Arabidopsis thaliana: one gene and its partner. The protein of the gene in region 1 interacts with the protein of each later gene in a pairwise test. Each region holds a gene or a part of one and is shown in the gene's direction. Other genes may lie near its edges.

Region 1 (3,725 bases):
ATCAAGACGTGTTTAGTTTCTATCCAGAGGGAAGATTCTGTAATGGATTTGAGGAAGTATTGGCTCGTTATAGAGAAATTGTACCTCAGCTTAAGCTCGCAGGTTTATTTCCTGCTCTGACCTGCACTGGCCAATTCTATATCTCCTTGTGAAACGCAAGTTATAAACTTAAAACTGTGTTTTTTTTTCCTGCGAACTTATGTATTTCAGGACCAACTTCTTTTGCCCCGATCATTGAAATGGCAATGACAGTGGTTGAGCAGAGTAGTGGCCAATATCATGTGTTAGTGATTATAGCTGATGGCCAGGTACTGATTAATATTTTGACTGCCTAAGCTGTGTATGATCTTCTGGTTTTGTGTCTAGGGATATCAAAGTGGACCCATTTTGTTGTTTCAGGTCACAAGAAGTGTCGATACCGAACACGGGCGGCTAAGTCCGCAAGAACAGAAGACAGTAGATGCAATTGTGAAAGCAAGGTGCGAATATTTCAATCTTTTGACTAATGTTTCTTCCATTTTAAAGTTCTTTACTTTGAGTGTAATGTTATAAAGTGTTATGGTATGTAATCAGTTTCATCCTCTCTATTACAGTACCCTTCCTTTGTCAATAGTCTTAGTTGGGGTCGGGGATGGACCATGGGACATGATGCAGGAATTTGATGATAACATACCTGCCCGAGCTTTCGATAACTTCCAGGTAAGCTTCTTTTTTTCATATCATGACATTGAAGATTGCTTCTTTTCTTCAGTTTGGAACCATTTTTCTAACATGTTTGCTCTGTTTCTAGTTTGTGAACTTCACAGAGATCATGTCAAAGAACAAAGACCAGTCTCGGAAGGAGACAGAGTTTGCGCTGTCTGCTCTCATGGAGATCCCTCCACAGTACAAAGCAACGATAGAGCTTAACCTTTTAGGGTAAGGGACCCAAATCAAAACTCTGATAGGTGTAGCTGCGAGAAACTGCTATATTGTTAAACAAAATGCTCACCTTTCTCTTTCCCTTACATTTTTGCAGGGTAAGAAATGGAAATATCCCACAGAGAATCCCACTTCCGCCACCGGTGCAGAGTGGATCATCATTCTCTAGTTCCCGGATACCGAATTTTGAACCGAGTGTACCTCCTTATCCATTTGAGAGCAAGCAAATGAGTAGTGCAGACGATATTCAGGTAATTAGTAGAAACTTAGGAATCTGTTTGAAATGTTAAGTGAAATAAGAGCTTTGGAACTTTTTGTTGTTAAACTCGTTTGTGTTATTTTCCCCTTGAACAGCTATGTCCGATATGTCTGAGCAACCCGAAAAACATGGCGTTTGGTTGTGGCCATCAGACTTGTTGTGAATGCGGACCAGATCTTAAAGTGTGTCCTATTTGTCGTGCGCCGATCCAGACCAGAATCAAGCTTTACTAACAACACCATTGACATGCAGCTTTGACCAGCCCAAATCCCATTTCTTCCAGAGATTTTCAGATCTTTCTGTAGAAAATTAAAGTGTTCTTTTGTTCTTTGATTGAATTCCTAAACTTTATCTTGTTCATAAAATTTCTTTGATTGGATTGTAAGAATTATGTATTTGTCTGTTGGCTTTCTTTGATTTTTCAAGATTCGATTAAACCAAAGTTGATTGCTTAAACACTTTAATTTTGATTTGTTTTGTCGACATAAGCAATGAGAAATAAATGGATGAATAGCCCAATAGAAGCCCATTAGCCTGAAATTGGGCTACAAGCAAACATACCAAATAAATAGTAGGGAAGAGCAGAAATAATCACACCACTCATCAGTTATCCATTCCTTTCTTTTTACATAAATTTTGTCACTTTTTCTACAAACGATTCTTCGCTTCTGTGAAATTTGATAAAGCGAAAGTTTTTTTCTTATGGATTCTCTTCGATTCAACCTCCAACAATCTCCATTTCAATTGAAACCTAGAATTCTCCGACCAAGAATCACCAACATATCAAACCGAATCGATGAAACCGATCCTCGACCATCATCCTCGGCCGGTAGGATCCAAAGGTTAGTACTTAACAACGAAGGTCGGACCAAACTAAACGCCGATCCTGACCGTGAATTCTATTCATATCCACGGTTCGTGAACCACGTAGATGATAGTTTCATATCCTCCTTAACCGAACTATACAGAAACCGGTTGAGACCCGGTTCGACTGTACTTGACTTGATGAGCTCATGGGTCAGCCATCTTCCAGAAGAAGTGAAGTACGAGAAAGTAGTAGGGCATGGTCTTAACGCACAGGAGCTTGCTCGTAACCCTAGACTCGATTACTTCTTCGTCAAGGATCTTAATGAAGATCAGAAGTTCGAGTTCGAAGACAAGTATTTCGACGCTGTTTTGTGTTCTGTTGGTGTACAGTATCTACAACAACCCGAAAAGGTACGTTACCGTAAACCAAAACCGATTTCGGTTATGTCAAGAAGATTCCTAAACCGGGTCTTTATTATATAAACCGCAGGTGTTTGCAGAAGTGTATAGAGTGTTGAAACCGGGAGGAGTGTTGATAGTGAGTTTTAGCAACCGGATGTTTTATGAGAAAGCAATTAGGGTTTGGCGTGATGGAACCGAATACAGTCGGATCCAATTGGTGGTTCAGTACTTTCAGTCTATTGAAGGGTTTACTCAGCCGGAGATCATCCGGCAACAGCCTGGAGCTCAGATATCGGTTTTGACTCGGCTTATGGGTTTTATCGGTTTAGCTTCTACGCCCGATCCTTTTAATGCTGTCATTGCTTATAAAAATTTCAAACCTATTTATGAGTAACACGCACATAAAAAAAAGTGTATAAGAATTGGATGGGAAGTTTTTGAAGAAAAGGAAAAAACCTCTCAACCAAGTCCAGCTGGAGAAACTTACAATACAAATTTTTAAAAAGTGGAGAATGAAATTACAGATTTCAATCAAATTGGAAGAACCTGTATTACACAAGAAATAATTGACAGAAAGATTACACACTTTGGAAAATATAATTAATATATAGTTTTCAATTAGCATGCATTGTATGTGATTCGTTTTGTTCGAAGATTCATGGACAATATCCAAGCAAGGTAGCCTTGTCCCTCTTCAAACGAGTATCACGAGTTGCTTACTTTATGGTTTAGATTCTATAATAACAGTATATATATTAGAAGGAAGTCTTTTATATTAAAACAAAAATCCATTGTATATGTACACTATCTATGTTCCATGCATGTGTCTTCTTAAATAGCTATGAAGTCCCTTATTTTACTATGTACATACTAAATTTAGTTATGTTTATCAGGATAACTCGTTGTACCATCAGTATATAAACTTTGAAATATTAAATGTTTCTCACTACTAGTATTAGACTGTTGCAGTTGCGTTAGAGACGTTTCATATTTAGAAATAATATTATCCAAGACCTGAAATTCTTATTATTATGAAAATTATGAAATATCGATAAGGGAAAAACTGTATGGAAGTGTAAAAGACACCAAAACAGATATTGAACCAAAGGTGAAGCAAAGAAGTTGATTCAAAGTTGCCACTTTATTTAACCTTTTGCACCAGTATATATACACACACATGGATACTAACCCAATCATTCATCACAACACATCAGATCCTTCACCATATATTTCTCTCAACCTCGCCAATATGGCCCAACGCTTTCAATTGAACTCACAAACCCTCCCAACGGCCGACCCTCTCAAAAGGGTCTCCCTTATTCCAAGATCCGCCGAG
Region 2 (4,545 bases), on another chromosome or scaffold:
TTAAAGCTCTTGAAATCTTCAGGGAAATGTGTGAAGAAGGAAGCGGAGTTTTACCGAATTCAGTGACATTTCTTGTTGTTATATCGGCTTGTGCACACGCAGGACTAGTTAAAGAAGGTAAGGAATGTTTTGGTATGATGAAGGAGAAGTATCGGTTGGTTCCTGGAACAGAGCATTACGTATGCTTCATCGATATCTTAAGCAAGGCTGGTGAGACAGAAGAGATATGGAGATTAGTCGAGAGAATGATGGAGAACGATAATCAAAGCATTCCTTGTGCTATATGGGTAGCGGTACTCAGTGCTTGTAGTCTTAATATGGATCTTACGCGAGGCGAATATGTAGCAAGGAGGCTTATGGAAGAGACGGGTCCAGAGAACGCGAGCATTTATGTGTTGGTTTCGAATTTCTATGCAGCGATGGGGAAGTGGGATGTCGTTGAAGAATTGAGAGGAAAACTGAAGAATAAAGGTTTGGTTAAAACAGCAGGACACAGCTTATTCATATGAATTGCTTTGTTTTTTCAGCATTACACTACACTTGAGCTACTGTTTTTGTGTCAAGAAACAGAGCAAGTCCACTAAAGTCTAAAGCATTGTTGTGGAACTGTCTCGTTGTCCTAATTAAGTCAAACACCAAAGAAGACATAGTCAAAAATAAAGTAGCATTGACCCACGAATAGTAGTAGGTGAAAGGGCAATGTCACATAAGGTTTAAGTTAAAGGAGTCGTTGGGATAAGGAGAAGAGAAGTCAAAAGATGTGTCCTTTTCAAAATCTATCCTTTCTTAAAAACATATCACCAGAGAGAATTGATCAAAACCACAAGAAATAATGATTAGAGCGCTGAGCACGAGGAAGGTTCGAGGCAGCTACAAGAAGCTCGGCGACGAAGAAGAAGCAGGCGCAGGGCTTTTAGAAGTGAAACCGGAGAGCGTTCCTACAAATCCCCATGGTCAATCCCCGAAGGTGAATAAACCGGTGGAGAAAACCAGGGGTTCGGCTCACCCTCTATTTAGTTTCTTCGAAATGAGTCTAAAGAGGAAGAAGAAGAAGAAGAGCACGACGACTGCAAAACCAGAATTCGCTAGGTACTTGGAGTATGTCAAGGAAGGAGGTGTTTGGGATAACACTTCAAATGGACCTGCCATATATTACAGATAGATCGGAGAAAGAGATTTCACAGAGGTTGTTTATATTTATTTTCGATTTGTGATATACCTTTCTATTTGAATAAGAAGGATGAATACATACATACATCAAAGTAGAAAGCTCGTCCATAAGCCATGATTCTGCTTCTTTGTGGACAAATCCATGTAATTTAAGTTTACAGTTTGATAGTAAGAAAAATTCTCGGTTTATTACTTGTTATCAGTAATCAGACTGGGTTTACAAATTTACGAATAAACACAGTGGGGCCCCTGATGACTACAAAAGCCTACCCGAAACACCAGGAGATGCCACGTCACTAAACATACAAAACCCCATCAAAACGCAGCCGTTCCGGTGATTCCCCAAAACCCAGCGTGATACGCGGTCGTTGCGAATGAAAGCCTTGGTGAAGAGGTTTAAATTAAGAGTTTGTTGCGACTAAAGCCTTGGAGAAGAGGTTTCTCTTTTTTCTCTCCTCCTCAGTATATATCTAATCTCTGTTTGCTCTTTTTTCGCACCATGTCATATCAATCTACCATCAATCGATCGTCTCTTCTTCCTCCGTCTGCGTTGATCTTTTCGTTTCGTCTTCTCCGATTGATGCTCTGTCGCGAGGTAACTATTTCTATCGAGTGATTTTGCTAGCTGCTGACTGTTCGATTTGATGATTAAGGTCTTGGTTCCGTGATAATCTCTGTTAAATTTAGTTTAGGCTACTTGATGTTGAATGATTAGTTTGATAATCTCGCACTCTATGGTTTGCTCCTTCCCGAAATTGAACTCTCAGATTGTTAGCTTGTTTGTATAGGTTATTAATTGCTTGACATTGATTTGGATTTTTGTTTATCCGTTATCGACTCTCTCGATGTTCATTACTTTATTAGTTGAACAACGCTCTCTCGCTGTTGTGTATCCCTATTGGTGGATTTCTAATTGAAATCTTCAATGATGCAGAGTCATGCCTACATTTTCTGCTGCCGCTTTGGGTAGATCACTAAATTCAGGGACGTCCTTATCTAGTAAATTTCCAAGCACACTGCAGTCAAAGCCGTCTATTTTGAATGATGAAAGTAAGCAACCTAAAGAAAAGACATTCACTCGTCCTCAGATGTCACCTTCTCTATATGCCACTACTAAAGAAATCCCTCATCCCAATTCGCCTTCTTCCTACCCTCCATCTCCCTATATCATCAATCACAAAGCTCGTGGGCCTGTTCTTTTCAATAGGGACTCTGAGGTGGATGGGCCTTCTCACCCGATAACCTCTGGTGAGGAAAAGATTAGTGGTAATGTAGATGTGGAGGCTACTGCCTCCTTGAGCAAGTCCACATCCCTATCATTTCCTATCACCGAGGCTATTGCGGTGGATCACACCAATGGTGTTCACACCCAAGGCATCCATGAACGTCCTGTTTGGGATTGCAGTCCCCCTCTTGGGACATTTTTGAACGAGAAGTCGGGAAGAGATATCAGCAATGGTGGGATTGGAAGTAATAATGCTACCAGTAATTTAGAATGGCAAAGTTACTTATTGGAGCCGGTAAGAATAAAAGCAGACAAGGAGCTTGAGCCTGAAAATTTCTATAACCCAGGTGAATTAGTAAGCTTCACAAGTAACACAGAGGTAGAAGATTTCGAGAGAGCTGAAAGCTCACACAGTCTTGCTACACATGTTGGAGAGTTTTATGATGCTTGCGATGGTACTGTTTCTTCCTACTAACTTTTTTAACCACGAGATAGCTAGAAAATTCTTATGATGTCTGACATTTCTAGCATCATCACTTTTTGCCAGTTCTTGGAGCCTCTTCTCCTTTAGTTTTAAGTGTTATATGCATATATCAGTATGTGATTTTGGTTGTGAAGTGGCCTTTTAGGCTTGGGATTCCTGTGTTTATAGTCATCTTGAATTCGTGATAGTTATGAATCAGATTTCCAAAGACATAGAAAATCTGCATGCATGATTCACTGGTATATCTAAGAAACTGGTTTTAATTTATTCAGTTACTGTTTCTTGGCTTCCAGAACTATCAACTGACAGTGGAATGCAGAGTTCAGCTAACAACATTGAATCTGAGGTAAGGGAGATGAGATTGGGTTTACTAATGGAAATCGAAAGGAGGAGGCAGGCAGAGGCGACTCTAGAGCAAATGCAAGTTCATTGGCGGAGGCTCCGTGACCAGTTGGCCGATGTGGGTATGTTCCTTCCTCTTGATCCCACCAGAAGCCAATACAGCATGAACCTAGCTGATGAGCTACGTTGTCAACTTGAGGTCACCAGGTTTGTCTCCGACACACTAGGCAGTGACTTGGCCAAGACAGAGGTAGAGATGGAGATGGAAGCTGAGCTCGAAGCTAAGAACTTTGAAATCACCCGGTTGTCTGACCGTCTTCATTATTACGAGACTGTGAACCAGGAAATGTCCCAGCGCAACCAAGAGGCCATAGGTAGAAGAAACTCAAGTTAAATTTACAAGAATGTCTTATCTTATTTTTCTTTATCTCAATGCTTCAACTCTCTTTGATATCAGAGGTGGCAAGGCGAGACGGGCAAAAGAGAAAGAGGAGGCAGAGGTGGATTTGGGGATCAATAGCTGCAACCATCACACTCGGGAGTGGAGTCTTGGCCTGGTCGTACCTTCCTCCCGGAATGTTATCATCAGATGAAGCTCAACCTCAGCTGTCTCCAAAAGATTCATAATGAGGTTGAATCAAAGCTTCAGGCCTTGTGAATAAAAATAGGAAAATGGGTTTTGTTTTAACCTTTTCTAGAGAATGTATAGAACATTCATGATGACGACATAACTCAGCTTCATACGATCAAGGTCATACCAATTTGGTTCTGTTTGTGTCGCTTATTGACTTGCAATGTTATTATTAGCCAGAAGTTCCGTGCCTGATTCTTGCTTTTGTTATGTTGGTTCTTAAATTTAACGAGGGGGGTAACTGGGTAAAGAAAAATAAAGGCGGTTGAAATGGGAATTATATTTAACAAGGGGTGTAAGTGGAAATAACAAATTCTGAAACGGCGTCGTATGAAGATCATATTTGGTTCCTTCGCTAATCACTAAAGAAAGCACCTGTGAGGAAAAACCAACCAGTGAGAGCTATCAATTTGAAAAACCAAGTCCAACAATGGCGGTCTCTCCGCATATTTCGCCTACTCTTTCCCGCTACAAATTCTTCTCTACTTCCGTTGTTGAAAACCCTAATTTCTCTCCGTATCGTATCTATAGTCGGCGGAGAGTTACCAAATCACATCTCCAGGCGCACAACAGTACCACTAGCTATGGCCGGACGGAACTCTCCTCCTCGAAGAAGCTATGGATTAGGCAACGAAGCTTCAGCGAAATGGAGGTTGAGCAAGCACAATTAGAAGATGATGAAGAACAAGTGGA

What was found.
Region 2: the proteins of AT3G01660 (region 1) and AT5G66480 interact in a two-hybrid assay, tested with the Arabidopsis thaliana proteins (one large-scale study listed by BioGRID).

The regions. Positions count from the first base shown.
Region 1 is NC_003074.8:243,650-247,374, forward strand, and holds AT3G01660 (S-adenosyl-L-methionine-dependent methyltransferases superfamily protein), read left to right. Parts: upstream 1-1,766; 5' UTR 1,767-1,882; coding exon 1,883-2,398; intron 2,399-2,477; coding exon 2,478-2,783; 3' UTR 2,784-3,205; downstream 3,206-3,725. Other genes in the region: RGLG1 (RING domain ligase1), read left to right, coding at 1-102, 211-308, 400-479, 594-699, 791-918, 1,019-1,172, 1,276-1,413; SEOa (sieve element occlusion protein), read left to right, coding at 3,567-3,725.
Region 2 is NC_003076.8:26,544,040-26,548,584, reverse strand, and holds AT5G66480 (bacteriophage N4 adsorption B protein), read left to right. Parts: upstream 1-1,584; 5' UTR 1,585-1,765; intron 1,766-2,104; 5' UTR 2,105-2,108; coding exon 2,109-2,850; intron 2,851-3,172; coding exon 3,173-3,595; intron 3,596-3,678; coding exon 3,679-3,848; 3' UTR 3,849-4,044; downstream 4,045-4,545. Other genes in the region: AT5G66500 (Tetratricopeptide repeat (TPR)-like superfamily protein), read left to right, coding at 1-509; AT5G66490 (uncharacterized protein), read left to right, coding at 833-1,162; AT5G66470 (GTP-binding protein Era-like protein), read left to right, coding at 4,283-4,545.